Linked DNA regions of Diceros bicornis minor. Each later gene encodes a partner of the first gene's protein in a complex. Links are inferred from orthologs where the notes say so. Each region holds a gene or a part of one and is shown in the gene's direction. Other genes may lie near its edges.

Region 1 (7,437 bases):
GAGCAGAGGATGGTCTGTTCACAACTAGGGATGAGGTTAAAAGCTGGAGTTCTGTAGCCCTAACCAAGGCAGGTTTTGCTGTAAGAAATCTGGCATCATCTTCCTAGGTCTCCTTATTTGGACAGGGCACAGCAGTTCAGCATGAGAAAAACTTGCAAAAGCCATGGAAGGGGAGGGAGACATGCTTGCAAGTACGCCTCAAAAATGAAGCTCTCCCACTTGATTGGTATCAGAATTAGTGGGAGAGCTTGTGAGAAAGGTAGATTCCCAGAACCCCCCACCTCCAAAGTCCTGAGTGGCTGGAGGTACACAGTCATATTGGGAAGTGGGGGGTGGGGTGGAACTGATGGATTCTGAGACAAAAAGAGGAGGGAAAGGAAAGAACAAAGAAACAGAGCTGAAAAAAAGATCTAGGGAAACATAGAAGTGAGCAGAAGCACAGAAGAAAGAAGCCATAAAATAAACATGGCTTGGGGAGCCGCGTGGAGCAGCAGCGGCCAGGTGTTCCACGGCATATGACCTCACTGAGAAAGCAGCATGTTGGCACAATGCTCCATAAAACTCAGCTCTCCCTGGAATCTCTGCTTCCAGAACACCAAGCTAGCCAAAGAGAATTCTCAAAAAATTCCAGAATTATTAGGCTGGTCAAATGGGCCAACATACAAGAATAGCTACAAGGGAGGTGGCCAGGCATAGTCCCTGCAACACCCTTTTCCTGTGGATGTGGCAGCTCTGAGGGGGTCTCAAGATCAGCCCAGACTGGTCCTGGTACCCCCCAAACTAGGGGTGAGCTCCCTGGGCAGTGAATCCAGCCTGGAGAGAATGCCTTCAGCCTGGTCAGTGTCGGCTCTGGCGCTTTGCAATCTCCTCCTGGACGCGCAACTTGAGGGCCTCTCGCATGGGTGGATCCAGAGGCGTGTGTGTTGATACCTCCTCACTCACCCTTTCTGGATCATCGTCCTACGTGGAGGAAGAGTCAGGAAGCTCAGGGCCCGGCCTCTTCTGGAAAGGCGACCTACCCTGTCCCTAGAGAACACTCTCAGAGAATTTCCTTTGACTCACGGCTTCTTGCCAGTGCCTGTCATTTCCCAGGTGTCCCCTGTAATAGTGACTCTCATCTGGGGGCCAAGAGCCCTACCTGTTGCCCACTGAGAATCACTGTGTGATGGGAGTGAGTTGTGCTCAAAAGCATCGCCCAGCAGTCTCTGCTCCCTTGTGGAGCAGACACTTCCCACTGGCACTGAGGAAAACAGTGGCTCAGGGTCTGGCAGTGATTTCTACCACGGGCCAGGACCTTCAGGCTGCAGCTGTTTCCATGAGGCATACCTGATACACGATAACTGAGGTGACCTCTCCGCTGTCTGCCTCATACTCTAAGCAGAAGAGCTGATGGCCAGAAGGCTCTGGCTCGGAGCCGCCACTACTGCTGCTTTCACCGGACTCCTCACAGTCTGGGTTGCTTGGGTGGGTAGAAACATCTGGAAGGATGAACCAGAGTGAGAGGGAAGAGGGGAAAGCTGCTGGAGTCCTTGCCCACAGAGATGACAGGAAAACATAAAGCCCCAATCCTCTTACAGACCCGTGTGTGTGTGTGTGTGTGTGTGTGTGTGTGTGTGAGTGAGTGAGAGAGAGAGAAGTGTGCCACCAATCAGGAGTTTTATTGACCTTTGTATCCTTGCTCCTGGGCCAGCACAGTCAGTAGGGACACAATGCACATTTGTCTAGTGAATACAGTTGGCAAGTAGTGGAGAAGTGGATAGAGCTCTGCCTGCGTTCAAATCCAGGCTCTGCCATTTACTAGCTCTGAGATCTTGGGCAAATTACATAACCTTTCTGTGCCTGTTTCCTAACTGTGAAATAGAAAATGTAACAGTTTCCATTTTATGGGGTCCTATGAAAACTAAGTGATCAACGTCCATAAGCTCTAAAAGCACTTTTAAGTAACGCTCAACAAGTTTAGCGCCATGTGATAACTACTGTGATCTCCTAGGTTGCAGGGAAGCTGGGGAGAAAGGCCATTTACGGGGTTTGGGCTTCATTCCACAATTATGTCCTGGTCGCTTACAACTATGCCAGGCTTCCTCTCTGTGAGGTAGTGGGAATACGGAAATATAGTCATGGTGGGGCAAACCGGCAGACACACAACTTCTTGCCGGCTTCCCGTTGTGTCCTATAACAATGACGCTTAAGTGGGGGCCATAAACCTTCCCTGTTCTGCGGAGAGCATCACTGAGCGGAGACTGAGGAGCGTCGAGGTGTTCCCGGGAAGGGACGAGACGAACTGAGCCTCGGGGAATAAGAAGCGGTTTTTCCCTCTAGAGAAGGGAGTGCGTCGGGGCAGAGAGCCCGGGCCGGCAGAGCGCGCGGGCTTGCGCAGGCAGGCGGGGCGGGCGGCCTCACCTCGGCGTCGCGGCAGGTACACCTGCAGGTCGGGCTTGCGGGGCCGCGTCGGCGCGGGCGTGTGCCGCCTCCTCGCCTTCTCCTTGGCCGCCTGCTTCACCTTCTTGTCGTAGTCGTCCCTGCGGGGAGCCGGGCGGGAGTCAGGGACGGCCGGGCCGGGCCAGGCTGGGGGCGGCGGCGCGGGGCGGGGCGGTACCGGGCGAGCTGGTTCCTTCGGATATGGTGCACGAAGCCGTGACTCATGTCCAGCCGCCCTCCAGGCTTGCAGCAGAGCCGCGGCCCGGGATCCGGCACCGCTTCCATCTGGAGGCCAGGGCACAGAGCCGCCGCCGCCGCCGCCGCCGCCGCCGCCGCCGCCGCAACGGCCCCAACGGCCGCCGTCCCGCCGGAAGAGGCGGCGCAGCCCCTCGCTCGGTTCTCGACCCCGCGCCCTGACGTCCCGCCCGGAAAGGGCCGGCCCAGCCCAGCGTCCCCGCGCGCTGAGTTCCGGGCGCGGATCGGCGGATGGGGCATGCGCGACTTCAGCTCACCGGTGGGGCTTTGCTTTGCTTTTCTTTGTGACATTTATCAACGGGAGACAAGGATTTAGGCTGATACATCAAAAATTCAGAAAAATATAAAGCACACATTGCATACTCAGCGTTCGTCGTGGAGCCTTCTCGTTCTTTTTCTGGTGATAGGGTGCTGTGAAACTCCATCACCAGCTCCGTGACCTCGGCTGACTATTGAACCCCACTGTGCCTCAGTTTCTTCATTTGTAAATGGGGACACTGAGAGCATCTACCTCAAAAGAGGTTGTGAGGAGGCGAGTGCTTGGGCAGGGCACACAGCGGCGCCCCGGCCGCACAGCCCCGCGAAGGCTCTCTGGGCCCAGTCCCGGCCCACCCCGGGGCCCCGCGCTGTCGGCGGCGGGGACGCCCCTCCCAGCACGCCCAGCGCCCGAGCACTGGCAGGTCCCGCCGCCCAGACCGCCTCGGGGCCCACCGGACCTACGTCTTAACGGTCCCCGCGGGAGGACCCAGGGCTTTTCAGGGTCTGAGCGGGTGCGATTTTCGAGTCCTCTGTTAAAAAAGACAAAATTAGGAATTCGTGATTAGAACAGGGACAAACTAGTACATCCACACGGAGGACTATCGCTGAGCAATCAAAAGGAACCAGCTGTTGATAACACTCAATAAAGTGGATGAATCTCACATATGCCGAGTGAAAGAGGTCAGGCAAAAAAGAGGGCACGCTGTGTGTGCTTCCATTTAGAGAAAACTCTAGGAAATGCAAACTAATCTGTAGCGACAAAGCAGATCAATGGTCGGGGCAGGAGGACACTTTTGGGTCTGGTGGATAGGTTCATACCTGGATCGTGGCCATGGTTTCAGAGTGTATCCATCCATCCACCCATCAGTATTTAGCAAATTGCACACTTTAAACGTGCAGTGTATTGTATGCCAATTACACCTCAGTAGAATTGTACAAAGTAGTTCAGGGCCGTGGAAGGGGTCGTGAAAGTAACAGGCCCTGAGATTTGAGCTTTGTTAGCTTCATGGTTAAGTCCTGCTCTGCCCGACGTTTGCATTTTTCTGTGATACGGAGAACAACCCTCCAAATGTGGAATTAGAGCCTCTGGGTTGCTGCATGAAGGGGATAATTTGGGGATGTCGCCTAGTTCTCCCCTGGAAAGGGTCAGTCTCCGAGGCGCAGAGACTGTGGAGACGATCTCTCAATTCTGGTTTCGGGGCACAAGTGATCTTGAAGAAATCTGGGGCCCATGACAGCTTCTTTTATCCAGAAATTCTGCAGCCAGTAAAAGGTTCTTGCCTCTTTAAGCTGGAAATTATGGGTAAGGTGGCAATAAGAACGACTGGCCCATAAGTCGTTCTCAGGTGCGCACACAGCTTCAAAAAGGCCACAAGGGGCGCAGTACTTCCCAGAAATTTCCTGCGACATAATTTGTCCCCATCGGCGACTCGTAGAGAGCCTTGGTCTCGATAACAGCGCCGCTCCTGATTGGCCGCGTGCCGCGCACTCGAGCGTGCCTGGCGCCGGCGCTGGGCTGGTCGGCGGGTGGTGGCGATGTCTGGCCGCTCCAAGCGGGAGTCTCGTGGTTCCACCCGCGGGAAGCGGGAGTCTGAGTCGCGGGGCAGCTCGGGTCGTGTCAAGCGGGAGCGAGATCGGGAGCGGGAGACCGAAGCGCCGAGCTCCCGGGGCAGCCCGGTGCGCGTGAAGCGGGAGGTCGAGCCGGTGAGCGCGCGCGAGGCCCCGGCGCCCGTCGTCCCGGCGGTGCGGGTGAAGCGGGAGCGCGAGGCCGACGAGGACTCAGAGCCGGAGCGGGAGGTGCGAGGTGCGCGGGGCCGGGCCGGGCGCGGGCTCCACGTCTCGTTCTTCTTATTCTCTTTACAGCTTCCCTCCCCGGGGGGGGTCACACTCCAGTGTCCGCGTCCCGACTCCACTGCGTTTTAGTGAGGCTAGTACTAGTTTTAATAATAACCGTAATTTGATACTTTTAGCAACAAAAATAACGGTAGCAGCTTCTCTTTATTGAATGCCTAACTCGGGCCAGGCGCTGTGCTACTTATGTTACAGGTGTTACCTTTTTCAGTTTTTACAAAACATCTGGGAGTGAGTCCTGCTGTAATTTCCGGAATTAGATCAGAGTCGAGAGCCTGAACGCTGGCACCTGCAACATACTGCCCCGTTATCCGGGGCTGTAGTAGCCAGGAGATCTGGATTCTGGTCCTGCCACTGAGGCTGAGTCACTGTGGTTTGGGAACGTGGGTTTCACCTATCTGTCCGTCTGTAAATTAGTGCAAGTAGTCCTGGAACCTTTGACCTTTGAGAGCCCTTCTAAGAATGGCCAGTAAGGCTGTCACTCCCCTCCGTGACTGCATCCTTTGCTTCCTTCCTGGGTTTTTTCTGCTTCTGGTAATTTCTAGAGACCTCTTTGCCCAGCCTTGGTTCCCTGTCTGTAGTGTATGCTTTTCCAACTTGTTGATATCTTACCAATCATTAAGTAGGTTTCCACCAGTTCTGAAGCTTTTTCTGTTTATACCAATTACATCTTTTCCTTCTCTGAACTTGGAACTCCTGACTTGAACGTGTTCCTAGATACTTGCTTTTTGGTGGATTAGCAAGAGCTTATTGAAGTAGCAGGTGAGTGTGTCACTGGGCTACCTGCTGGGGGCAGGGTTTGTGGAGGGAGGGGTCCTCATTCTCCAAGACTTTATAATTCTGCCTCTGGTCCTGGTTACTTGTATATGATTATACTCTTATATTAGCTCTTAAGTTTCTTGCTCAGGGTCTTGTGTTTGACATATTTTTGTATTACACTCAGGGTCCAGAATAGCACCTTGCTCATAGAACGTACTTGATAAATATTTTTGAATAATCTAGTTGATAATTTCAGGGTATTCTCTGATTTCCTTTACTTAAATACTCTGCAGCCTCAGTTTTCCCTTTCTTTGGTAGAGAAATTGTTTCTTAGATATTTTGCATAGTTTTGGTAAGGATTGTTTTCTTTGGGACACCCTAGGATCCCAGTTGCTGTTACTGTCTTGTCTTGTTTTTTTCCTTTTATTTCTATTGTGAAATAGATCGCAGGTACTAAGATATACTGAATGTGATAATGTATAAGTACAGTTTAAAGAAGAGAGTGGATGTACATCTAACACTTGTCAAGAATTGTGAAGGATCTGAGATTTTACCCGGTGTGAAACTACCAAGTTAGCTTGCCACAGTGTCGTGGATGCTGATGTAAGACATGGGACTATTGGGTCTGAGACAGTTTATTGCAGCAATAACCAGAATAGCATTGGTGTCAGTTTCCCGAGTTAGTTCCCACAGTACAACATGAAGAGAACCATACACACCATGGGTGGCCTTACAGGAGAGGAACTCTGAACTTAGAGAACCTGAATCTTTTATAATGGGCTGTGAGTTTGCCTCTCGTTTGCTCTGTAGGAAGACACTATCTCTGTCTTCCAAGGCTGTTCACTATACAGACATCCTTGACAAGATAGTCTGGAGACAGTCAGTGCCTCTGGTCACAATATGTACAGAAACATGGGAAACCCATGGAGAATTGCCTCCTAACACTGTTCAGCCTAAGAAGTGGTACAGAGTCAGTACCTTAGAAGCTCCCATAGGCCCCTTGCCAGTTGTGCTTGCCTTCCTTCCTTGCTTAGGTAATCACTGTTCTGAATTTTTTTCTAATCATTTCTACTTTTAGTTATAGTTTTATTTCATATATGTATCCTTAAGTTACACTGTTTTATTTTGTATTTGATATAAATGGAGTCGTATTGTATGTAGTCTTCTGATTTGCCTTTTTTTTTTTAACTAGGCATATTTGTGAGGTTCATCCAGGTGGATATTCATGGCTACATAGTGTTCCATTAATACACCAAAATCTATTTCTCCATTTTATTTGTGGCAGACATTTGGGTTGTTTCCAGTTTGGGCCCTTTCACATATTGCTGCTATAAATATTTTTTAGTAAAGCACTCTTGGTGCACATGTGCAAAAATTTCTCTAGGGTATGTAAATAGAAGAGAGCTTGCTGGGTCAGAGGGTCTGCATATTTTCAGCTTTGATTCTGCTGTACTATTTTCCAAGTTTATACTCCCACCAGCTGTACATGAGCATTCTCATTGCTCCACATATTCACTTGGAATTTTCTGATTTCTTTTTCCCTCTCTGGTAGGTGTGAAGTGGTACATCACTGTGCAAGGAAATTTGCATTTTCTTGAATATTGATGAGGTTGAGCATCTTTGTGGGCTGTATTCATCATTTTCTATTGGACTGTTTGTCTTTTTCTTATTGCTTCACCAGATTTATTTATGTAATCTGCAAATGAATCCTTTGTTGGTTATATGTGTTTCACATATATTCTTAGAGTTTGTGGCTTGTTCTATTGGTGGGCTTTTTTTTTGGTGTTGCCAGGCCACCTTTATAGGAGCTCATCTTGATTAGTTTTTCCCACTTCTACGTTTCTTTGTTTGTACTAGTAGTTGACCCTGAGTGTGAGTTTCACATTTTCACAGCCT
Region 2 (7,470 bases), on another chromosome or scaffold:
TGTGGTGGCGTCCCATATAAAGTAGAGGAAGATGGGCACGGATGTTAGCCCAGGGCCAATCTTCCTCAGCAAAAAAGAGGAGGATTGGCAACAGATGTTAGCTCAGGGCTAATCTTCCTCAGGAAAAAAAAAACATATCAAGCTCCTACTATTTACAAGATGCTGGGAACTAAGTGGTAAAGAAGACAGACATGATTTCCACCATCAAGGTTCCTAATGTAATTGGTTTTACAATAAACAAACAAATCATTGTAAATTATAATAAATGCCATGAAATAAAAGAATAAAGTGCTGTGAGAGACCCTAATGAGATGGAGGCAGCATGGATAGGATTGATACAGCTAACTAAGATAGGCTCAGAAGAGGCCTGTCAGACTAAGGAAATGACATTTAAACTGAGACATGAAGAGAGGGGGAGCACTAAAGGCAGAAGGAAATAATATGTGCAGAGGCCACAGGTAATGAATAGTTTGGCATCTTGAAGGAAATGAAAGCAAGCCAGTGTGCCTGGGGTACAGAGGGCAAGGCAGAGTGGCAGGAGGTGAAACCTGAGAAGGGCCGGAACAAACACATCTTGTAGGCCATGATAAGGAATTCAGATTTTATTCTAAGTGCAGAAAACCACTGAAGAGTTTTAAGGAGAGGGATGACATGATCTGAAAATTTTTAAAGATCATTCTAGATACCTGATGGAGAATGGATTGAAGAGACAAAAATGGAAGCAGAAAGACCATTTTTAGGATGCTACTGAAATTGTACAGAGAGATGATGGTTACTTGGACTAGGGTTGTGCAGTGGAGATGAAAACATGGGTAAATTCTGGAAATATTCTGGAGGTAAAATCAAAGATTTATGGACAGATTGAATACAAAGGGGGAGGAAAAGGGGGACTCAGGTTTCTGGCTTGAGCAACTGCCCAGAGACTGAGATGGGGAACACTGAGGTGAAACTGGTTTGAGGAAGAAATCAAAGAGTTTTTTGTTTTAACATGTTAAGTGTAGTAGGCTGAATAATGACCCCCAAAGCTATCAGGTCCTAAGCCCTGGAACCTGAAAATGTTGCCTTATATGGGAAAAGGGACTATACACATGTGATTAAATTAGGGATCTTGAGGTGGGGGCGTTATCCTGGATTATCTGTGTGGGCCCTAAATGCCATTACATATATCCTTATTAGAGGGGCAGTGGGACACAGACAGAGGAGAAGGCAATGTGATCAGGGAGGCAGAGATTGGAGTGATGCAGCCACGAGTCAAGGAATGCTAGCGGCCACCAGAAGCTAGAAGGGTCGAGGAACGGATTCTCCCCTAGAGACTGCAGGGAGCACAGTCCTGCTGACACCTTGATTTTGGACCAGTGATACTGATTTCACATTTCCGGCCTACAGAACTGTGAAAGAATAAATTTCTGTTGTTTGAAACCACCAAGTGTGTAGTAATTTGTTACGGCAGCCACAGGAAACTAATACATTAAGTTTGAGAGGCTGTAAAGCGTCCAAATAGAGATTTCAAATAAGCTGCTGGTACAAGAGTCTGGAGTTCAAAAGTTGGAGTTTTAAATATTCCTAAGGGTTTGAAAGTTGTGCTCTTACCTCCAGGTCCTTTCGAATGCTCTCAAACTCCTCAATGTCATCAAGCTTCAGCTCCAGGCGGGTTGGTTTTCGTCGCAGCATGTTGAAATCAACATCAAAGGCCAGACCCAGTGAACTATTAGCTGTTAAAAAGGCAGAGAGAAGGAAAAACTGGAGGGGATAAATCTCAGCTGCAAATGTAAGATCAGTTTGTACGCATGCTTGCTAAAATGAATGGCAATAAAAAAGATTCATTTGGGGCCGGCCTGGTGGCGTAGCCCTTGAGTGCGAATGCTCTGCTGCGGCAGCCCGGGGTTCGGACCCGGGCCACACCGACGCACCGCTTGTCAAGCCATGCGGTGGCGGCGTCCCATATAAAGTAGAGGAACATGGGCATGGACATTAGCCCAGGGCCAGTCTTCCTCAGCAAAAAGAGGAGGATTGGCAGATGTTAGCTCAGGGCTGATCTTCCTCACAAAAAAAAAAAAAGATTCATTTGGATTCACACATAGACTTCTAAGACTTTTGGTGTATGATTATTACATTTTTATTACATGATTGAGATCCACAACTTTGTAATTCCAAAAAACTCTTTCTTCAAGAACTTAAAACGCCAAACTACCTATAAAAGAGAATTCTAGGTAACAATCACTTTAATCTCATGCTCCTGTCACATTCAGAGAAATATTCTAGCTAAGAGAATAAAGTTAAAAGATCACATCTTAATTCAGTATAGTCAGTGGGAGAGTATATAAGCCATTAAATTTGATCAACACTACATGAGAATTGTGAGAGATTTGTGATCACCCCCAAATGCTAAAATAAATTTACTAAATCTCACGAAAACTCCCTCTAACTCACCAATTCACAGAGTTGTCCTAAGGATCTAATTAGGTCCTAAATGGATATGTCATTCATTAAACAAACAATTCTTGTGCTCCAGCTACAGAGTTAAAAGGCACAGTCACAGTCAGTGGGGAAAACAAACACATAAACAGAAAATTGCAACACAGTGTAATAAAACTCTGGCAAGGGTAACGCAATGGCACCAAACAGGCACCAATCCAGTCTGGGCTGAGTGTGAGATGGACAGGAATGTGGAGGGCTTCCTGGAAGAGATGATGTCTTAGTTGACTGGTTAAGGACAGACAGAGTAAAGAGATTAAGGGCATTCCAGGCAGAGAGAACAAATACGCAAAGAGGCTCAAGAGAACCCTCCAGAGCTTGAAAACCCTAGGTAATGCTTATGCTAACAAAAAACATTTTTTTGAGAAGAAAATAAAACTCCCCAACTGAGTTTAAAATCTGTGGATTGCATCTTCATATTCTCCACAGCATCCAGTAGAGTGTATCTATAATCACCAGTCAGTAAACGTTTTGTTGAATAAACTGAGATCCAATTAAAGTGAAATGAACTTTTCTTCAGCACTGTGCTATGCTTTTCCATTCCCATTCTTTACATTTTTATTTTAACATAGAAACTGTGACACCAACAAAATTACCCCTATTTTACAGATGACGTCGAAGCTGTTCAGTTTGGTTAATAAATGTCAGCCTCCTATAAAAATTATACATACGTTCCACGGTGAGGATTGATGTAAGATGATTGATGTAACTGACTAATGTAATGAGAATGATGTAAGTGAAAGCTCCTTTAAAGTTTTTACAGACATAAATTATTATTACATGTATCCAGGATGTATCAAGGACTGTGAAATATACAAAGGAAGAAATGTTTCCTTCTCCCACGAAGCTTAGGTGATATTATCAGATAAATACAGGTGATATTATCAACCCAAAACACCAGCACATTACATTTCAAATTGCTTTACATTAAATCAGATAATATCTTGATTCCAGTGTAGGCAAGTGGTAGAGGGAGCCAAAGTTCGAGGGGGGCGGTGGGAGCGGTGGATGCGTAAAAGAAAGAAAAAACTGCTTTGCATTTTAACTCTTCGGCAAACTGTGAAAAATTCTATGAAGCAATATAGAGTAATGGGTACAAGTGCTCTCTAGAGGCAAAAGGGCAGAGGGCAGAGGTTCTAATCCCATCCACCACTTATCACAAACAATTAGCTTCATCCTTCACTGGATTTTAGTTTCTGTAACCGTACTCTGTTGTTGTATGGATTCAATGACGTAATGCAAAGTAAGTTCCAGGAACATAACTTGGCATTTAGTAAACGCTCAATAAATAACAGCCATTATTATTGTAATTGTCCTTGGGCGTAGGGGCGGGGAGGGGCTCTGTCAGCTCGGGAAACACCAACATTTTAAGCATCTCCACCCTCGCCATGGGGGCAAAAGCCTCGTCTTGTTCATCTCTGATGCCCCAGCACGCAGCGGAAGGCAGGGCCATGCAGAGTTGCTTGCGTGCAGATTACCTGACGCCTCACATCCATCATCTCACTCTGAATCTGATACAAAGACTGGGCTGAAGACAAACAACAAAATCAGGCCCTGGCTCCTCCGCCGGGTCTTTATTCTACTTTGGAGCTAGAGTGCTCTTCGAGCTGTTTCTCTCGCCACTGCTCGAATTCATCCAGCTCAGAGGGAGCCCCTGGCAGAGGACTTCCCGACAGCGGAGAACGAGCACAGCTCTCCTTCCGCAGCTCCAGGGCAGCACCCGGGGTCCAGGGTGACGGTTTCCATGGCAACAGGGACCTCCGCTCCAGGATGACGTAAAGCCGCGCGTCGGGCCGGGAGGGACCGCAGGCCCCGGAAGCCCTAGATTCGCTCCCGAGTTCAGCCCGGAGCCGCGCGCCTCGACGCACCTACCTCTTTTCAAGGCTGCTCAGCCCCTTCCCAGAACCTCGGCGCCCACTACGACTCTTCTGCCAGGCCAGCTGGACTACACTTCCCAGACTACTCTCAACCTCTCTCCTCGCAGAACCTCGTCCTCCGCGTGCTTTCCTCGGAGGACTACAAGCCACGCCTCTCGACGCGCCCAGAATCTGTCCTACTACGACTCCCGTCATGCTCCACGCCGCCCACGATGCTGCGCCGGCTGTCGGCCCACTTCCGGTAGGTGACGCAGTTCCGCTTTGCTGGGCGCGCGGTGGACGGTCTGAAACGTAGAGGTCGAGTTTCGCTGGGGCTTCGCGGCTCCAGAGCTCGGCATGGCTTCCTCACGAGCCTCCTCCACGGTACAGAGCTCAGCTCACTCTGGCAGGGAGCGCCGAGGGGTGGGGAGTCCAGCGGGATGGGGCCGTTAGGGAACGGGCTAGGCGGTGGAGGTGTGAGGAGGAGCAGCGTGTTCCCGATCCCTCAGCGCTTTCATGCGCTTTAGCTTATTTGCATCACTCGCTACACCCGCGAACGGTAAATATCTCTTCCCACGGGTCCAAAAACGCAGCTCTGAAAGGGAGGACGTAGTGCCTTGGCCGAGATGTATGTCCGTGTCAGACCTCTTAATTGTAATGAGGCCTTCTTTCTTCCTATCTACAGCCTGACGTCTGAAAACGTTTGAAGTGTATAGACCAGCATCTTTGTAACTTGTTTCCCCCTTACATCGCCTTGGCTATTTCAGTTATCCTTGATATTTCCCCTGTGATGAGCAATAACCCTGGAAGTGTCGTAAAACCGCAGAAGACATTGCACTTCCAACAGAATGAAGTAAACGTGTTTAAAAGCAAACCTTTGATAGGAAAATCACCAAGAGAAATGCACGAGTATCCTCAACTTCTTCCTGTCTGCAAAACTTAAGTGATTGAGAAACACCCCCCTCAATCAGTGAAAACGCATCTTAAGGTGTCCAACTTGTCGTTTCCGTTCGGGAAGAAATAGGACTGACGCTCAGGATGAGCCTCATCCTTTGGGGAAGGCCGGTAAATTGCTAAGGTGAAGCCTTAGGTTAATCCAGGTCTTTGATTTAGCAGGCGACCAAAACTAAGGCACCTGATGACTTAGTCGCTCCTGTTGTGAAGAAGCCACACATCTATTATGGAAGTTTGGAAGAGAAGGAGAGGGAGCGTCTGGCCAAAGGAGAGTCTGGGATTTTGGGAAAAGAAGGACTTAAAGCAGGAATTGAAGCAGGAAATATTAACATAACCTCTGGTAAGATGCAAATTGTGAGTCCATGTTTACCTTTGGTGCTCAACTTTTCTGTAATGAATACCTTCCTAAACTTAGATATCACTAGTTTTATAGTGTCATAAAATTGCAGTTTTAAACTTGCATCTGTGTAAGGTTTTACTTTGCCTACCCCGCTTATCATCATCCAGAACGCCTTTTTCTTAAAACCTTTTATACAGTTTTTCTTCCGTGAATTGTTAGTAATTTTGTCAGGAGTTTATTCAGCGTGTATTTGGCTTCAAAGTGATTCCGTTTGTCTTCTGGAGATCTAGCATAGTTCTGGCATTGGTTTGGAGCTACTGTCGTTCATAATATTCTCCGTTTTTTTAGTTTTGCAATTACTTTTCCCTCAAAATGAAATGTTTTTTAAATTATATAAGTAATAGTTATTTTTATTTTGAAAAATATCAAACAATGTAGAATTGTGAAGTATAAAATCCTGTAATGCTTATTAATTGGGTGTATATCTTTCTGAGAATTTAATAAAGCTATGAAAATGTATAATTTTTTTCCATAAATGAAACCATGATATACAAATAGTTTTGTAACTTGTATTTTATACTCTATGTACTATTGAGGATATCTTTCCATGTCAGTAACTGGTGGCCTACTGTATTTTTAAAATAAAATTATACATGTTTGTCATAAATTCAGACAGTACAGAATGGTATAAAATGAAAAGATTTCTTTGCAGAAAGGATCTCTTTCAGGTTTCTCATTGATCCTCCTACACATTTTCTTTTCTATACACATGCACTTTACAGACATTTTTAACCATTTATGCTGTTTTTAAACATAACTGCATCACCGCTGTTCTTCTCATTTTTCATCCAAATGCTTGTATTTGGTGTGAGTTTTAAAACTAGCTGCTAGAGGGGCCGGCCCCGTGACTTAGCGGTTAAGTGCTCGCGCTCCGCTACTGACGGCCCGCATTCAGATCTCGGGTGCGCACCGACGCACTGCTTGTCCAGCCATGCTGAGGCAGCGTCACACATGCAGCAACTAGAAGGATGTGCAAGTATGACATACAACTGTCTACTGGGGCTTTGGGGAGAAAAAGGGAGAAAAAGGAGGGGGAATGGCGATAGGTGTTAGCTCAGGACCAGTCTTCCTCAGCAAAAAAGAGGAGGATTGGCGTGGATGTTAGCTCAGGGCTGATCTTCCTCACAAAAAAAAAAAAAAAAAACCAGCTGCTAGATTATCCAAAAAGCCTTCGAGTCAAGGAATATCATTTTCATGGTAATTCTTTCTAGTTTACTAGTTTCATTTGTAAGTGTCCCGATACTGGGACTGTTTTAGAGAATAGCTTTGGCAATTGTTAAAACCGCATTTCTATTTTATCTTCTGGATAGAAGAGCCATTTAACTCATTTGCTAAAGATGCTCCGTACTCTTTCTCATCTCATGTAAGCTGTGTGTTTATATGGGTGTAAGGTTGCCAAATCAAACAACATGACTTGAACCATTTTCCTGCCTCTTAAAGCTGTATCATTTAATTTTCTGTGTTTGGCATAATTTAATAAACTGAGAAAGAGTAAACTATATCTATAAAGTGCTTAATAGATTAGACAGTTGACTTTCCCTAGTAGCATACACAGACTCTAATTGTGAGAAATTATTTCTTTTCCTCTATTTGAAGAAGATCTGGTGATTATGCTGATGTTTCCTGTTCTTTTTATAGGAGAAGTGTTTGAAATTGAAGAGCACATCAGTGAGCGACAGGCTGAAGTATTAGCCGAGTTTGAGAGAAGGAAGCGAGCCCGGCAAATCAACGTTTCCACAGATGACTCGGAGGTCAAGGCTTGCCTTCGGGCCTTGGGGGAGCCCA
Region 3 (7,163 bases), on another chromosome or scaffold:
ACAAAAAATAAGGAGAAATTTTGAAAAACAAAATATTTCAAAATTACTTATTTAGAATCTGGGGAACAGATTTCTTATTCCAAGACCGGAAGCTGCTTAAAGGTTTGACTAGACGGTTTGAGTAGTGTGCCCTTAAAATCAGGATTTCTGGATCTTACAATGGTCTTTACTCTCTATTAATAAGCAAAGATGCTAATACTTCATTTTTACTAATCTAAAAACCCAAGTGGGAGGATACTTCACAGACACTGTTTCTTCCTCACCAAACTGATCTGATTGGTTATAAGGCACAGCTGTATATTTCTGTGCTTTGAAGAGAGAGGTAGAGGAGTTAAAGGGGGGGGAATTGGAAACAAAAAACTGTGAATCAAAAAAAATCATTCATATTCATAATATCCAAAAGTTTAAAAACTAATGTGAATAACCAATCATGAGATAATCATTAATTATGGTACAGTCACACGATGAAATATAATTCAGTCATCTTTTAGACAAAGAAAAATGATATATGATAAAATATTAGGCAGGCAAAGTTATTTTTACAGGGAGTTTCTACTGCATAAAAAAACACAGACTAGAAGGAAATATACCATTGTTTAGTGGTGGTTATTTCTGGATGGTAGAAATATGGATGACTTTGTTTTTTCCTTTATCCTTTGCTGTGTTTTTTTGGTCCTAGAGAATCCAGAGGCTATTTTCCAGGACTCAAAGGTCTGGAGTTATCTCATCTGTCTAACCAGCCTCCCTGAGCTCAACATGGTTATTTCAGCAGGACAGGAATTACCACTGTGGCTGGCTTGGTCATCAATTGAGATTTAATAAGAATACCTGCTTAAACCTTCCAGTGGCATCTCACAGCACTTAGAATAAGATACATACTCCTTAGCTTGTTCTCCAAGCTAAGGGCCCCAACAACCTCTCTCACCTCAATTCCTACCACTCGCCCCCTCACTCACTGTGTCCAGCCAAATGGCGAAGCTCACCCCCCCCCCCGAAACTCTTGAAACTTACTGTTCCCTCTGCCTTTTCCCCCACAACTTCCTAAGAATGGCTCCATCGGGGCATTCAGTAATTGGCTCAAAATGTCACCTCCTTGCAGAGGCCTTCCCTGACGACTGATTCTGACTTAGCTGCTTCTTCCCCACCCCCATGCCCATTTTATTACAGCAACTGTTTTATTTTCTTCATAGCTCTTATCACCATGTGAATTTATTTTTTAACGTCTTATTGTCTGCCCTACCTACTCCTCCCCAAAGATTATAAGCATCATGAGAGCAGGGACCTTGCCTGTTCTGTTCACTACCATAACTTCAGTACCTAGAACAGTGCCTGGGAACAGTGGGCGCTCAATAAATATTTGTTGAAGGAATTAATGAATTACATCAATGAAGGCATTAACACAGAGAAGAAATATGAAGAAACTAGAGGTGCCCTAATAGAAACAAGGAAATAATGTGGAAGAAATGTTTTCTTTGTCCCTAACTGCTGAAAGCAGCCACGCATCACCTTCATTTGCATGCCCCGAGGTGCTGCTAGAACTTACACTCAATGATCACCAAATCAGTGTCACCTGCAGCCCAAACCACGCCTGCTCCTCCCCTCAACCACAGCAAAGATTGCAACTCTTCCCGGAAGCTGCCTTGGGAACTTACTGCTAGCTCCGCTGGCTGGCAGTTTCAGTGAAGCTTGGGGGCATCCTTAACTATATTTAGGCTGAATTGTTACGAGCTAACCCGAATGATTATGTAACATGGACCGTGCCAGGAGCCTTATATGCTCTTACTGAAAACTCACAACCACCCTGCAAGATAGTAGTATGTTCACAGACAAGGTTCAGAAAAGCTGTGTTATTTGTCCAAAATAATTTACCTAAGTGCATATAACTACCAAGCATTGGAGCTACACCAAACTGGTGCCCAAGTGAAGTGTTTTAGCTGGGAGGAATGCTTTTAATTTTTGAATTGCCACATATTCAGAACGCATTCCCTCTGACTAGAATACAACCCCCTCTCACGACCATTTGCTGAATATTACCCATCCTAAATCCCAGATCACACATAACTCCTCCAGAGAGCACACCTCAGTCTCTCCAGTCAAACTTGATTATTCCTTCAGAAGCCACAAAGCCTTGCACCTTCTCCAATATCAGACCCTGCGTACTCTGCCTTGGATATTTTTTGTAAATGTCAACACTACTATATTCTAAGCTCCTCCATGAAATCTCTCCCCCATGTCACCTAGCCCATGTACAGCACACAGTAGGTACTCAGAAAATGTTATCTGAATGAGTAAATGAATGAATAAAATGGAACTCATTGTGAGGTAAATCACCTTCTAAGTTTAAAAATTGTTACCATTTGACTATTTCCTAATGGACGACGAACTTATATACAGAATCACAGAACTGTTGAATCTAGTGTCTGAGTCCTTGCTGGTTACCTAACCTTCTACCCAGTTATCTCAGGAAGCCCAGAAATCCTTTCCACAGCATGCACTTTGCAATTATTTAAAATATTTATTGAGCACTTAGTATATGGGGAGAGTGACAAGATAAGATACTGCAAAAAATAAGACATGCTTTCATGAAGCTTAAAGTCTGGTAAGACAGGCAATCAAAAGGAAGCAAATAAATTAAGAAGATCATTACAGACGGTGACAGGGGCGTTGAGGGCCTGTGTGATAGGGAGTATCCCGGGAAGACCACCTTAGAAAGGACGCTCAAGGAGTGTCTGAATTGACACCTAAAGGAATAGAAGAAATCAGGCACAGTAAAGCCATGAAGAACATTCTAAGCAGAAGGAACATCAAAGGCAAAGGCTTGAGGTGAGAAATAACATGGCATGTTTGAGGAACAGAAAGGAGGCCACCAATGAGAGTATCTGGCAAAGAAGAGTGGTAGGAGACAACAGGAGCCGTAGCAGCAGCCATATCATGTAGGGTCTTGTAATCCATGGTGAGGAATTTGGATTTCACACCAAGAGCAACGGGAAGCCACAAAGGGTTTGAAGTAGGAGCATGGCATGATCTGATTTTTTTTTTTTAAAGATGGTTTGGGCTGCTGAGTGGAGAACTACTGCAGAGGAATGAAAAGAAGTAGGGAGACCAGTAAAGAGGTGACCGCAGTCCTTCAACTGAGAAGTGACAGTAGCTTGGACAAAGGCTGTGGCCACGGAAATAAAGAGAAGTGGAGAGAGTGGAGATCTAGTTCAGAGGTTTGACTGACAGGACTCGCTGACTGACAGGATGTGTGCGTGTAAGGAAAACCAGGGGTCTGCTTTTACAAGCAGGTGAAGGCATCATTTACTGAGATGGGAAAAGGCGGGGAAGGAACAGGCTTACAGGGGAAAAAATCAAGAGTTTTGCTTTGCCCATGACAAATATAAGACGTCTATTGGATATCCACGTGGAGGAGTCAGTCAGGTTGGATCCGAATCTGGAACTCTGGGGTGAGACTTAGCTGAAGATATTCTGGGAGTCAGCACACTACTGCACTCTACGTCCTGGTCCATCCGTCTTCTGGGGACACAAAATAACTGCACTGCCTTTCCCCTGTTCAGCCCTCGGCATCCGCCAGGAGGCCGGACTTTGTCCTGTGGGCAACAGGGAGCAGGAAAGAGGCTACGCAGGGCAGCTCCCATGGGGTCGGGCTCCAGGGGAGCCGCTGAGGGCGCATCACTCCTCGTGGGGAGGACCTGGGCGGCGCCTGCCTCCCTTGGCCCCGGTAACGCGGTCTCCTCGGCCCCCCACCTCCAGGAGCCGGCCTCCCCGCTCCCCGACCCGGGCCTGTCTCCCGCCCTCGGGCATCCCCCTCTAAGCCCGGCTCAGCCTCGCTCTCACCCGCCTCCTTCTCCTCACGCCGGGCCACGCTCTTCCCTTTGGCTTTCTGGCCCCGCAGCCCGCGTCGCCGCGGGCCCCCGCCAGCTGCGCGCTTTCGAGCCATGCTGCCCGGGCAACACTAGCTGCTCGCGTGACGCACCACCCCGCGGGAAGCTGCCCCTGGCTGCGCCAGGCGTAGCCACGCCCCTTCCTCACAGGGCAAGCCTCCGCCCCCAGAGGAAGCTCCGCCCCAGCCCCAAAAGACCAAGGCGAACAGCGGGAAGCAAGGAGGTGCAAAACAGATTTCTTTGCACTTCCGGTGCATTGCGTCCTCGCGTTTCCGGAGACAGGAGGGAGCTCGCGTGCTCTCGCGAGAGGCAAGGAAGGGCGCAGGGTTTGAAACATGGCGGACGACGTGGACCAGGTGAGTGTCTTCTAGGGAGCTCGCTCCGGAGCGGCTTCTCCTCTCCCAGCCCTGGCCCTGCTCGGCTTTGCGTACCACGGTTGCTTTCTCGAAGCTCACGGGAAGGTGGCCGATCGTGCCGCCTCTTTCCAGGTCACCATGGCCTTAATCGGCCCGTTGCTAACCGCGCCCCCTGCGACTTTTGCTTCAAGCCCTGAGATCTTTTCTAGTTCGAAGCCCGCCTGAAAACTAGTTATTCCTCCCGTTCGTCGCTCCCTTTGTCTTCATTCTGACCTTTATCTGTAGAATGGGAATAATTACTCCTGCTTGCCTCGCGGAGCTGTCGGGATTCTGATACAAAGCGTGATAGTAAGGAGTTATCGTTATCGAGCGCAACCGTTATTACTCATTCAGCAAATACGTAGTGAACATCAGCGTTTGCTTAGACACCGTTCTAAGCCCCAAGGACGCCGGCATTGACATGCGTGACCCTTGTCCCCACTTGGGCTTATATTCTGGGGGAGGATAGATGAAAGGTAAACATAAATATATGCGTTATGTAGGCACTGTGATGTGGTATGGAGGACACAAACAAGGAACTGGTGTAGAGAGTAACTGATGGTCCCACAGGCTTTCTCACCTGCTCTTCCTTCTTCCCAAAATGCTCTTCCTCAGGTGTCTTTGTGGATCAGGCCACAGCTTCTTCAGCTTTCTAGTGAAACCTCACCTCATTGAAGAGGGCTTCTCTGGCCACCTACATAAAATAGCATTAGGCCCAGTCTGCTTTATTTTTCTTCATAGCGTGTTATCTGTTCATATTAAGTGTATGTGTCTTTGTTTGATGTCTCTCTCCCTCCGCTAAAATGTGAGTTCCTTAAGAGCAAGAATTTTGTTTTATTCACTATTCTGTTCTCAGGTTTTACTTTTTTGTGTGTGTGTGTGAGGAGATTAGCCCTGTGCTGACGTCTGCCAATCCTCCTCTTTTCTTGCTGAGGAAGACTGGCCCTGGGCTAACATCCATACTCATATTCCTCCGCTTTGTATGGGACGCCGCCGCAGCATGGCCTGACAAGCAGTGCATCAGTGCGCGCCCGGGATCCGAACCGGCGAACCCCGGGCCGCTGCAGCAGAGCGCGTGCACTTAACCGCTTGCACCACTTGGCAGGCCCCTGTTCTCAGGTTTTAGAACAGTGCTGGAAACATTCGAATACTTATTGAGTGAATGAATTGAATGATTAGGGAGGCCTCTTTGAAAAGGCAGTATTTAAAGCTACAGGATGAAAAGTGTGGACCGTGGGCATCCCAGACTGAGGCTAAAGGAGCCGTAGGGCTCTGTCATGAGTATATTCTTACAATATTATAATTGTCTATTTATTTGCCTCTCCCCACTAAAATGAGCAGGGACTGACTGCTGTGTCATTGTAATCCAGTAGTTGGTTAGCTGCCCATTAACAAACGCCTGTTGAACTGGGGTGGGGCCCAATTGAGGTCAGGATTGCTTTTTTTCTCATCTAACCTTTTAAGGCTGTAGAGCCTGCAGTGTTGGGTCACTTTCCTCCCCTGGCCTCATGTACTCCCTGAAGAAGCTCAGTAATCTCGTCAACTCTCCTGGCTTCTCCCTTCTGTATGGATGACCCCAAGTCATCCTAGCCCTGATCTTTCTGAGACCTGTTTCCAACAGTTCTTTAATAGTAATAACCTGAACCATTTATAAGTACTTTCTGTTTGCCAGGTACTGTTTTAAATACGTTAATTAAATACATTAGCTCATTTATTCCTCACAAGAATCATGAAAGGAAAATTATGGCTTCTTCATTTTGCACACAAGGAACCTGAGAATTAGAGGTGGCATGATTTTTTATCTCAATTCATATAAGTGTCAGAGTCAGTAGTTGAGCTCACACTGCCTGACTCCAAAGCTAGTACTTTCAACCAGTATTCTCTACTTCCTGCTAAATATATGCATCTTACCAGCCACTCAGCACCCTAGACTCAACCTGCCCTGTACTGACCTCGTGGTCTCCCTCAAACCTTCCTCACTGCTTGGCGTTCTGACTAGTGTGTGGTAGTCATTAAGTGAATGTTTTTCAAATTACTAAATGATATTTGAGACAGGGCTAAAGTCCCTGAGAGTGACTCACTATACCCTGAAATTGGGTCAGGCAGTTTGGATTTTGAGGGAACAAAGTACAGCCGTGATAACTTTGCTGTGTAACTCCTTCCTGTGGATGTATGTTTTGGCTCTCGTTTATATAACACTTACTATGTGCCAGGCTTTGTTCTAAGGCTTCATATATGTCATTTAAGGCTCACAACAGCAGTGTTAGGTAGGCATTATTGTCATCCACAGTTTACAGATAAGAGACTGAGGCATAGAGAGGTTAAGTAACTTGCCCACAGTCACAGCATAGCAATGATTCAAACACTACGCTCTTTCTAGTACTGTATCATAAGCCTGTTTCTTTTATCAGCAACAAACTACCAACACCGTAGAAGAGCCCCTGGATCTCATCAGGCTCAGCCTGGATGAGCGAATTTATGTGAAAATGAGAAATGACAGAGAGCTTCGAGGCAGATTACATGTAAGTAAATTTATTAAATTACGTGGTGGTAGATTACATGTAAGTAAATTTATTAAATTACCTGGAAATCAGATTATTTCCTCTTCATCCCTCCCTACCCTCACCCGCTTGAAATGTAAAAACTGTCCACTGTGGAAGAGTATTTAGTGTGTAGATGAGATGGAGGTAGAAAGTCACCCATATTTCTACAAGCCAAATACAGCTATAATTTATTCATATTTTTAACGTGTTTTCTCTTAACAGAAATGTTTATTAAAGAACATATTCATTTCTTTCATTTTTTCACTTCTGTTTATTTTTAAATAACATTTGTTTGTCCTCCATTCTTATTTAAATGTTTTTTAAATTACTGACATATACAT
Region 4 (7,101 bases), on another chromosome or scaffold:
CCTGACCCTCTCTGAGACGCCTGTGCCCAGCTGACTTTTCCCATCCCTCTTTTTTCCCCTCTCACCCCCCAAGAAGCCTGCTGCAGGCCTGGGAGCGGCAGCAGCGGGAGGAGCGGCGGCAGGCTGAGCTGCGGAGGGCCCGGGAGCAGCAGGTTCAGCAGCAGGTGGCTCGCTGCCTGGCAGCCTACGCGCCCAGAGGGAGCCGGGGGCCAGGGGCTGCCCAGCACAAGCTGGAGGAGCTGAGGTAGGAGGCCAGGGCTGCGGAGGGCCCGGTGGGGAGAGGGCAGGGAGGCAGTGTGAGGTGTCAGACAAGGACCAAGGAGACCCAGCCCTCCCCTTCCCTCAGGGCTGAAACTCCACGGCCACCCTCCCGCCCAGGCAGGCGGGCCACACTCTACAGATGAAGACACTAAGCCATGGGAGGAGAAGGGGCCGGGCCAAGGTCACCCAGTTAATAATAACAAGCCCTGCAGCTGTGGAACGCTCAGGTTAAAATGTTCTACCTGCATTATTACACTTTCAAGTCTTGTTTTTCCGATTTCAAATGCCAGACATGCTTACTACAAAAGTTCAAATATTACCAAAATTGTTCTTGTACAATGGGAACAGCGCCTGTGATCCCACTCCTGGAGACGACCACTGTTGATGGTCAGTGAAGAGTCATCAGTGTTCTTCTCTTCCTATAGTTTGACCATGAAAAAAAAAAAGGTGGGGGGCCGGCCCAGTGGCGTAGTGGTTAACTTTGCGCGCTCCGCTTCGGCAGCCGGGGGTTCGCAGGCTCGGATTCTGGACACAGACCTACACACTGCTCATCAAGCCATGCTGTGGTGGCGTCCTTCCCTGGCACATAACCAAGGGTCCACAGCAAGGCAGTGTTTTTCCATGGGGCCCAGCATACTTGCTGGAGGTCCCAGCACGAGTCTCGGATTCTTGCCTGCTGCTCTCCTGTCCTGTGTGTGGGTGCTGCCACCACGCCCCTCGGCTTCTCTTATGTGCTTCACAGAAGGATGCCTGGTCCGGAGCACGGTGTGGCCAGAGGGCCCCTCTTGCTGCCAGGATGCTCAGCTTTTTGAGCAGACACATTTGTGACAAGCGCACAAACTGGGTTTTTGTAAATGGATTTGTGCTTCCCCAGTGGAACCCTGATCTTTCTGGGATGTGCTCTTTTCATTTGCAACACATTTCTTTAGTTCTTCTGTCCCAACTGCTAAGCTGTCTGCTTATCAGAACCACAGAGGATGCTGGCAAGCTTGTCCAGTCCCTGCTATGGCACAGACAAGAAAACTGAGCCCAGAGCCCAGAGTGGGGCCTTGCCCAAGGCCACAGCATCCTCCTCGCAGGTGCAGTGTGAAAGGGTGCAGGGGTGTGGACACGGGGAGAGGAGAGGCTGTGCAAGCAGATGCCCAGTTGCTCAGAAGCCAGTGATGGCCCCTCTCCCTTGGGGGTGGCTGCAAGGCTGGGGGAGCCCTGGCTGCACAGCCTGCAGACTTGGGCTCAGGACTCAGTCTCTCACTTCCCAGCTGTGCAACCTTGGACAGGTTCCTCAACCCTCCTGAGCCTCAGGTGCATCAAGGGTAAAATGGGTCAAATAACTCCTGCCCCACTGACCTCAGAAGGAATCCAGGGTGAGGATGGGAATGAAATGGCTTTGCAAAGGCAACGGCCAGAGAACATAAACATAAAGTCCTTAGTGAGGACGAGTGGGCTCAGGAGTGGGGATGGCTGTGTCCACGGTTAGCTGCCCAGAGGCCTGTCTCCCTGCAGGCGCCAGGAGCGACAGCGCTTTGCTGAGTACCAGGCAGAGTTGCAGGGCATCCAGCACAGGGTGCAGGCCCGGCCCTACCTGTTCCAGCAGGCCATGCAGGTGAGGGCTGGCACAGGGCTTCTCCCAGGCTGAGTGGGTAGGAAGCAAGGTGGGAGTGGGCCCCCTTAGATGGGACCCCTGGCTGCTGCCCATCTGGAAGCCCTGGGACGCCCTCAGTACCCAGAGCCCCACTGTGTCCTCGGCAGCCCTGGTGCAGAGCAGGAACCCCTCCTCTCTCTCCTCAGGCCAACGCCCGGCTCACTGTGGCCCGGCGCTTCTCCCAGGTGCTGTCGGCACTGGGACTGGATGAGGAGCAGCTGCTGGTGGAGGCGGGAAAGGGGGACAAGGAGGGGACCTCCAGGAAACCCAGGTGAGACCGTCTAGCTGACCAAGGAACCGGCTCTGCCCAGCTGCGGGGAGAAGAGGCGCCATCACCAGCCCTCTGAACTCTGTCTCCCTGCCCTGGGGAAAGGCAGAGGGACTCCGTGGGAAGCCACATTGATCCACCCTTAATCTAAGCTTCAGTCCTGCCCCATCTACTCCCAGGTCTGGAGGACTAGTTCTAGCAGTCAGCAGGGTCTTCCCCAGGCCCTGTCCTCCATGTCGCCTGAGGAAGACAGGGCCAGGGTTATTTTCCCCACTTCCCAGTGAGGAAACTAAGCACCTGAAGGGCAGGGTCTTGCCCAAGGTCACAGGAGCAAATAAGCAGCAGAGCCAGTCTGGGAACCTGTGGCCATCTGAGTGGCCACACACCAAGGCCCCATGATGGGCTAGTGCCACTCCAGTCACCCCAGGTATACTGTCCCTTATGCTTTAGAAGAACCTAGTGCAGAGCAGGGATTATGAGGCCCAATTCACAATAAGGAAACTAAGGCTCAAGGAGAGGAAGTCACTGGCTCAGGGTCACATAGCATAGGAGCCAGATTTGAACCCACATCATCAGTGACAATGGCCTTTCCCCTCCTATAGCCCAGGTCTCCTTGGGCATGAGGGTGGCGAACTGCAGAGCGCAGTGACCTCTATCTGTGTCTTCATCTTTAAGGAGACACAGGTCAACAGGGGTGAGAATGGAGCACTCTTCTCAGAGCCCCCCAAGGACAGAACCCACCGGCAGCCAGCCTGACAGGCACTCCACCCAAGCCCAGACCAGAAGTCCAGTCCCTGAGAAAAATTAAACGCTTTATGGAAAATACAGCGTGAGACTTCCAGTGGTGGTGGGAAGAGGCTGCGGGTTGGGAGTAGCAGGCGGTAGGTGGGTAGGCAGCCGGCTTAGCTTGTTCTCGCATCCCCCAGGAGCTCCCGCTGTTCTGGCTGCCCCCTCCCAGCACACACAGCCCCGCCTCTGCTCCTGAGGAGGGGGGCGTCTCAAAGAGCAACAGCTGCGACTCCTCCACCCCCAGTCGCCAGCATACATGTTGGGTTCTAGAAATTCAAGAGCGAGTAAGACAGAATGGCCTCTGCCTTTGGCGACTCCCAGTCCGGTGGGGGAGGGGGCGGACCTTTAAAGGGGCACAGGCATCACACCGTAACAGATGGACTGCACAGGGACCGCCAGATCTAGCAACTGTGGGGTGTGGGTGTCAGGAGGAACCGTGTGAGCTGGGTTTTTAATGTTAAATAACTTCAAGTTAGAGCCCCTCTTCTCAAGAAATACACACACACACACACACACAGATGCGCCAAATTTTGCACTCAATTTCAGGGGGTTCACCAACACACAGAAGCTCATCTGGAGCTCCTTAGCAGTTCACGGGGCGCAGGTTAAAAACCCAATCCAGGGAACGTGGGCAGGCAGGGTCTGCTGCCAATACTGGTTGTAGGGGCTCGGAGGCCGGGCTGTGGGTCTCAGGAGGAGAACATGCTGCGTCGTCCAACGCTGGATGGAGCCACGACCCCAGGGAGTAGTCCACTAGGAGGACGCCTACTGGAGCGGCGGGCGCTGTCCACGGAAAGTCTGTGAGGCAGTGAGCGTCCCGTGGCTGGGGGTGTGCAAGCGGAGGGAAGCCGGGGAGGGGCTTCCAGCTCCGGGGACGCTGACTGAGACAGCCTGTAGGTCCTTCAAGTTCTGGGATCCGGTCTTCTCCAGACCGGGTCCGCGAACATAGAAGAGCGCACGCGCCAGGGGACCACAGGCTCCATGACCGCCCGCCCGCCCGAGGCGGCCGCGAATGCGCAGTCGGGCGCCGATCCTGGCCCTCCCATGAGCCTTTGGGGCAGGCTCCGAGGGGAACAACGGAAGCAGCCGCTCTTGGTTTCCGGCAACACGACAGCGGCTGCCGGGCGACCCGGAAGTGTTCCCATTTTGCGTCGTCTGGGCTCGGCGGTGGCCGGGCTCGGGACGGACATACCACCATGGGGTCGTCAAAGAAGCATCGCGGGGAGAAGGAGGGGGCTGGGACGACGGCGGCGGCCAGCACCGGGGGCGCCACCGAGCAGCCGCCGCGGCACCGAGAGCACAAAAAACACAAGCACCGGGGCGGCGGCGGCGGCGGCGGCAGCAGCGGCGGCGGCGGCGAACGACGGAAGCGGAGCCGGGAGCGTGGGGGCGAGCGCGGGGGCGGGCGGCGCGGGGCCGAAGCCGAGGCCCGCAGTGGCACTCACGGGCGGGAGCGCAGCCAGGCCGAGCCCTCCGAGCGGCGCGTGAAGCGGGAGAAGCGCGATGACGGCTACGAAGCCGGTGAGGGGCGGGGCCTGCGCGGGGGCGGGGCGGAGGTCCCGGGTGGGCTCGCCCAGCCTTCAGGCCGAGGCACCCCCCAGGCTGTTTTTCTCAGCGCTTAGTCTTGTTACGGTTATTTGAGATTAAAGGTTGTCTTCGTTTGTTACGCTCTGTGAGCACAGAGATTTTCTGTTTTTCGCAATTGGTACATCAAGGGCCTTCAGTAAATGTGCAGAGTGAATGAATGAACGGATGAAGTGGTAGTAGCCTGTGCAGAGGCAAGAGAAAACCTGGTATTGGGCGAATCCTGTAGGGCTCACGATAGAGACGGGAGGCTGTAAGATAGGCAGGGATCGGAACACGAAGGGTGCCGTAGGCCCTGTTCCGAAATTCGAACTTTGTCCTGAGAGTAGTAGGGAGCCATGGATTTGAGTCGAGGAACGAGTCCATCATATTTTGCAAAGATCACTGCATTGAGACCTAGATCGAGGGTAGACAAGACTGGAGGTCAGGTGAGGGCTGATGGTGGCCTGCACCAAGGCAGCAGCAATGGGATGGAGAGATGTGGACAAATTGAAGAGGTGTTTTGGAGGAGGAATTAACACGCTTGGGTGAGGGTGGCAAGGAGAAGAAGAAATGGAGGATGGCTCCTTGAATTTTGGCTTGAGCAGCTAGGTGGGTGCTGGTGTCATCTACAGATGTTGAGGAGTTTGAAAGAGAAGCAGACTTTGCAGGGAAGATAATGAATTCAGTTTTGGAGAGTGTTGTGTTTGATGTGTGTGAAGAAACCCAGGGTTTGGCCTGGATAGAGCAGTTTGGGTGTCATGAGTAGTTAGGTGTCAAATAAAGTTCACTAAAAGATTGACGAGTGAGAAGCCAGGGTCAGGAGTGGAGTCTACAAAACACCAATATTTTAGTAGTAGGTGGAGCAAGATACTACAAGAAGGGAGGTGGAGTAGCCAAAAAGGCAGGAAAAGCATAGAACCCGGTGTCATGGGATCTGTGGGAACAGAGCATTGTTAGAAGTGAGTGATCAACAGTGTCACACACCACAAGAGATCAAGCAAAACCAGAGCTGCAAAGAATCCATTGGATTTAGAAATAAAGAGTCTGGTGACCTTGGAGAGAGCCCGGAGGGGTTGGGATGGATCCAGGGTCCGGGTGGGATAAAAGGGGAGGAGGTAGGTTGCAGGGATGCAGAAAGGGTGAGCACATGGTGGCAGCTGGTTGGGGTAGCTTCATCTGAGGGTGTCTAGCTTCTGTCTGTGGTGCTCAGTGAAGTTGTTTGCTGTTTATGAGCTGGGTGGAGGAGGTCCGAAATGCTTTTTTTGTCTCTCTGTCCCCAACGTCCCGCACAGAGCAGGCACCAGTAAGTGTGTTTCTTGACTGTGTGAATTGCACGGAGGATTCAGTCATGCTGTCAGCGTGGTCCCTGCCCTGTGGGGAGAAACAGACCCAGGAGCAACTGACGGCGCTGTGGAGTTCAGGGAAGAGCAGTTCATTCTGATCAATAATTCAGCAGGACCTTACGAAGGAGGTGGCATTTGATCTTTGCGTTTGGATAGGAATTTGTCAATCAGAGTGAGGCCAGGGAGGGCAGTGCAGGTTGAAAACACAGAATATACAAAAGTGGAGAGGTGGCGGAGTGAGGGATGCAGAAAGTTGGACCTTTAGGGTTGGGAAAGGAAGGTACGTAGAAGAGGCAGAGTTCTCAGACACTGGGACTCAAGTAGTGGGAGTTACTGGGGTGAAAGAAGGCTGCTGTTTCCTGGTGTCTCAGCAAGGCCCGCGTGCTGGTGAGGGGCCCTCATCTTCAGCCCTGCAGCTGGAGCGGAGGAAGTGGCTTCTTTGCCCTGTGTTCAGCTCCTGAGCCGTGCTCCTTGTTGTTCCAGCTGCCAGCTCCAAAACCAGCTCGGGAGATGCTTCGTCACTCAGCATCGAGGAGACCAAGTAAGTGCTGTCTCCTTTTTGTTTCTCGTTTTTTTTTTCTGAGACAGGTGGCTCCTGGGGCAGTTGCTTGGGGAGGCTCTCACACACTAAAGCGTTCTGATTGGAATGGGAAGGGCTGTAGAAATCATCTTAGCCAACCATTTGAGTTACAGAAGAGGACACTAAGCCCCAAGAGGAAGGATGGCATTCCACTGGTTAGGGGCAGCCGGGCTTAGCGCCGGTGTGCCCTGATTTGGAGGCCAGTGCCCTTCCCAATGCCCTGGGCTGCCTGGGTCAGGCGCTGTGTTTGGGACCCTTAGGACCACCCACTCCCATCCTGTTTTCACCCTCTGTCTGTCCAGAAATGCATTTGGTGCCCCCATTTGTTTGACAGCTTCTAACAGTTGTACTCTTGTCTTCAGTAAGCTCCGGGCCAAGTTGGGGCTGAAACCCTTGGAGGTCAATGCCGTCAAGAAGGGTGAGTGTGGGGCTGAGGATGGGGGTGGGGGGCATCTGAAGACAGTGGGGTTAGAGTCCAGGTTCAGCCCAGTTAGTGGTCGTGTGTGTGTATGTGTGTGCTTGCTGATAGGCGTGAGGCCCCTCCTTGCTGTCGTAATGGGGATCTGGGACTCAGGTTCTTCTGTAAGTTTGAACAGTTGGCACTGCATCCTTACGCTGGCTGTGAGGCAGCGTTAGGTGGAGTGAGAGATGC

The links.
Region 2: USP39 (region 1) and PRPF4 share a complex: the UniProt entries of both Homo sapiens proteins name them as parts of the U4/U6-U5 tri-snRNP complex. The link is inferred for Diceros bicornis minor from reciprocal best matches to the Homo sapiens genes USP39 and PRPF4.
Region 3: USP39 (region 1) and LSM3 share a complex: the UniProt entries of both Homo sapiens proteins name them as parts of the U4/U6-U5 tri-snRNP complex. The link is inferred for Diceros bicornis minor from reciprocal best matches to the Homo sapiens genes USP39 and LSM3.
Region 4: USP39 (region 1) and SART1 share a complex: the UniProt entries of both Homo sapiens proteins name them as parts of the U4/U6-U5 tri-snRNP complex. The link is inferred for Diceros bicornis minor from reciprocal best matches to the Homo sapiens genes USP39 and SART1.

What each region holds. Positions count from the first base shown.
Region 1 is NC_080751.1:4,384,697-4,392,133, reverse strand, and holds the start of USP39 (U4/U6.U5 tri-snRNP-associated protein 2), read left to right. Parts: upstream 1-4,436; 5' UTR 4,437-4,467; coding exon 4,468-4,735; intron 4,736-7,437. Other genes in the region: C12H2orf68 (UPF0561 protein C2orf68 homolog), read right to left, coding at 838-960, 1,327-1,478, 2,401-2,519, 2,597-2,703.
Region 2 is NC_080767.1:21,524,089-21,531,558, forward strand, and holds the start of PRPF4 (U4/U6 small nuclear ribonucleoprotein Prp4), read left to right. Parts: upstream 1-4,464; 5' UTR 4,465-4,545; coding exon 4,546-4,593; intron 4,594-4,618; exon of another isoform or gene 4,619-4,688; coding exon of another isoform or gene 4,689-4,715; intron 4,716-5,444; coding exon 5,445-5,625; intron 5,626-7,323; coding exon 7,324-7,470. Other genes in the region: anaphase-promoting complex subunit CDC26, read right to left, coding at 1,591-1,671. UniProt on the Homo sapiens protein: Plays a role in pre-mRNA splicing as component of the U4/U6-U5 tri-snRNP complex that is involved in spliceosome assembly, and as component of the precatalytic spliceosome (spliceosome B complex).
Region 3 is NC_080741.1:88,655,368-88,662,530, reverse strand, and holds the start of LSM3 (U6 snRNA-associated Sm-like protein LSm3), read left to right. Parts: upstream 1-4,156; 5' UTR 4,157-4,219; coding exon 4,220-4,240; intron 4,241-6,690; coding exon 6,691-6,801; intron 6,802-7,163. Other genes in the region: XPC (DNA repair protein complementing XP-C cells), read right to left, coding at 3,838-3,940. UniProt on the Homo sapiens protein: Plays a role in pre-mRNA splicing as component of the U4/U6-U5 tri-snRNP complex that is involved in spliceosome assembly, and as component of the precatalytic spliceosome (spliceosome B complex).
Region 4 is NC_080770.1:7,333,586-7,340,686, reverse strand, and holds the start of SART1 (U4/U6.U5 tri-snRNP-associated protein 1), read left to right. Parts: upstream 1-4,092; 5' UTR 4,093-4,156; coding exon 4,157-4,481; intron 4,482-6,352; coding exon 6,353-6,410; intron 6,411-6,811; coding exon 6,812-6,867; intron 6,868-7,101. UniProt on the Homo sapiens protein: Plays a role in mRNA splicing as a component of the U4/U6-U5 tri-snRNP, one of the building blocks of the spliceosome. May also bind to DNA.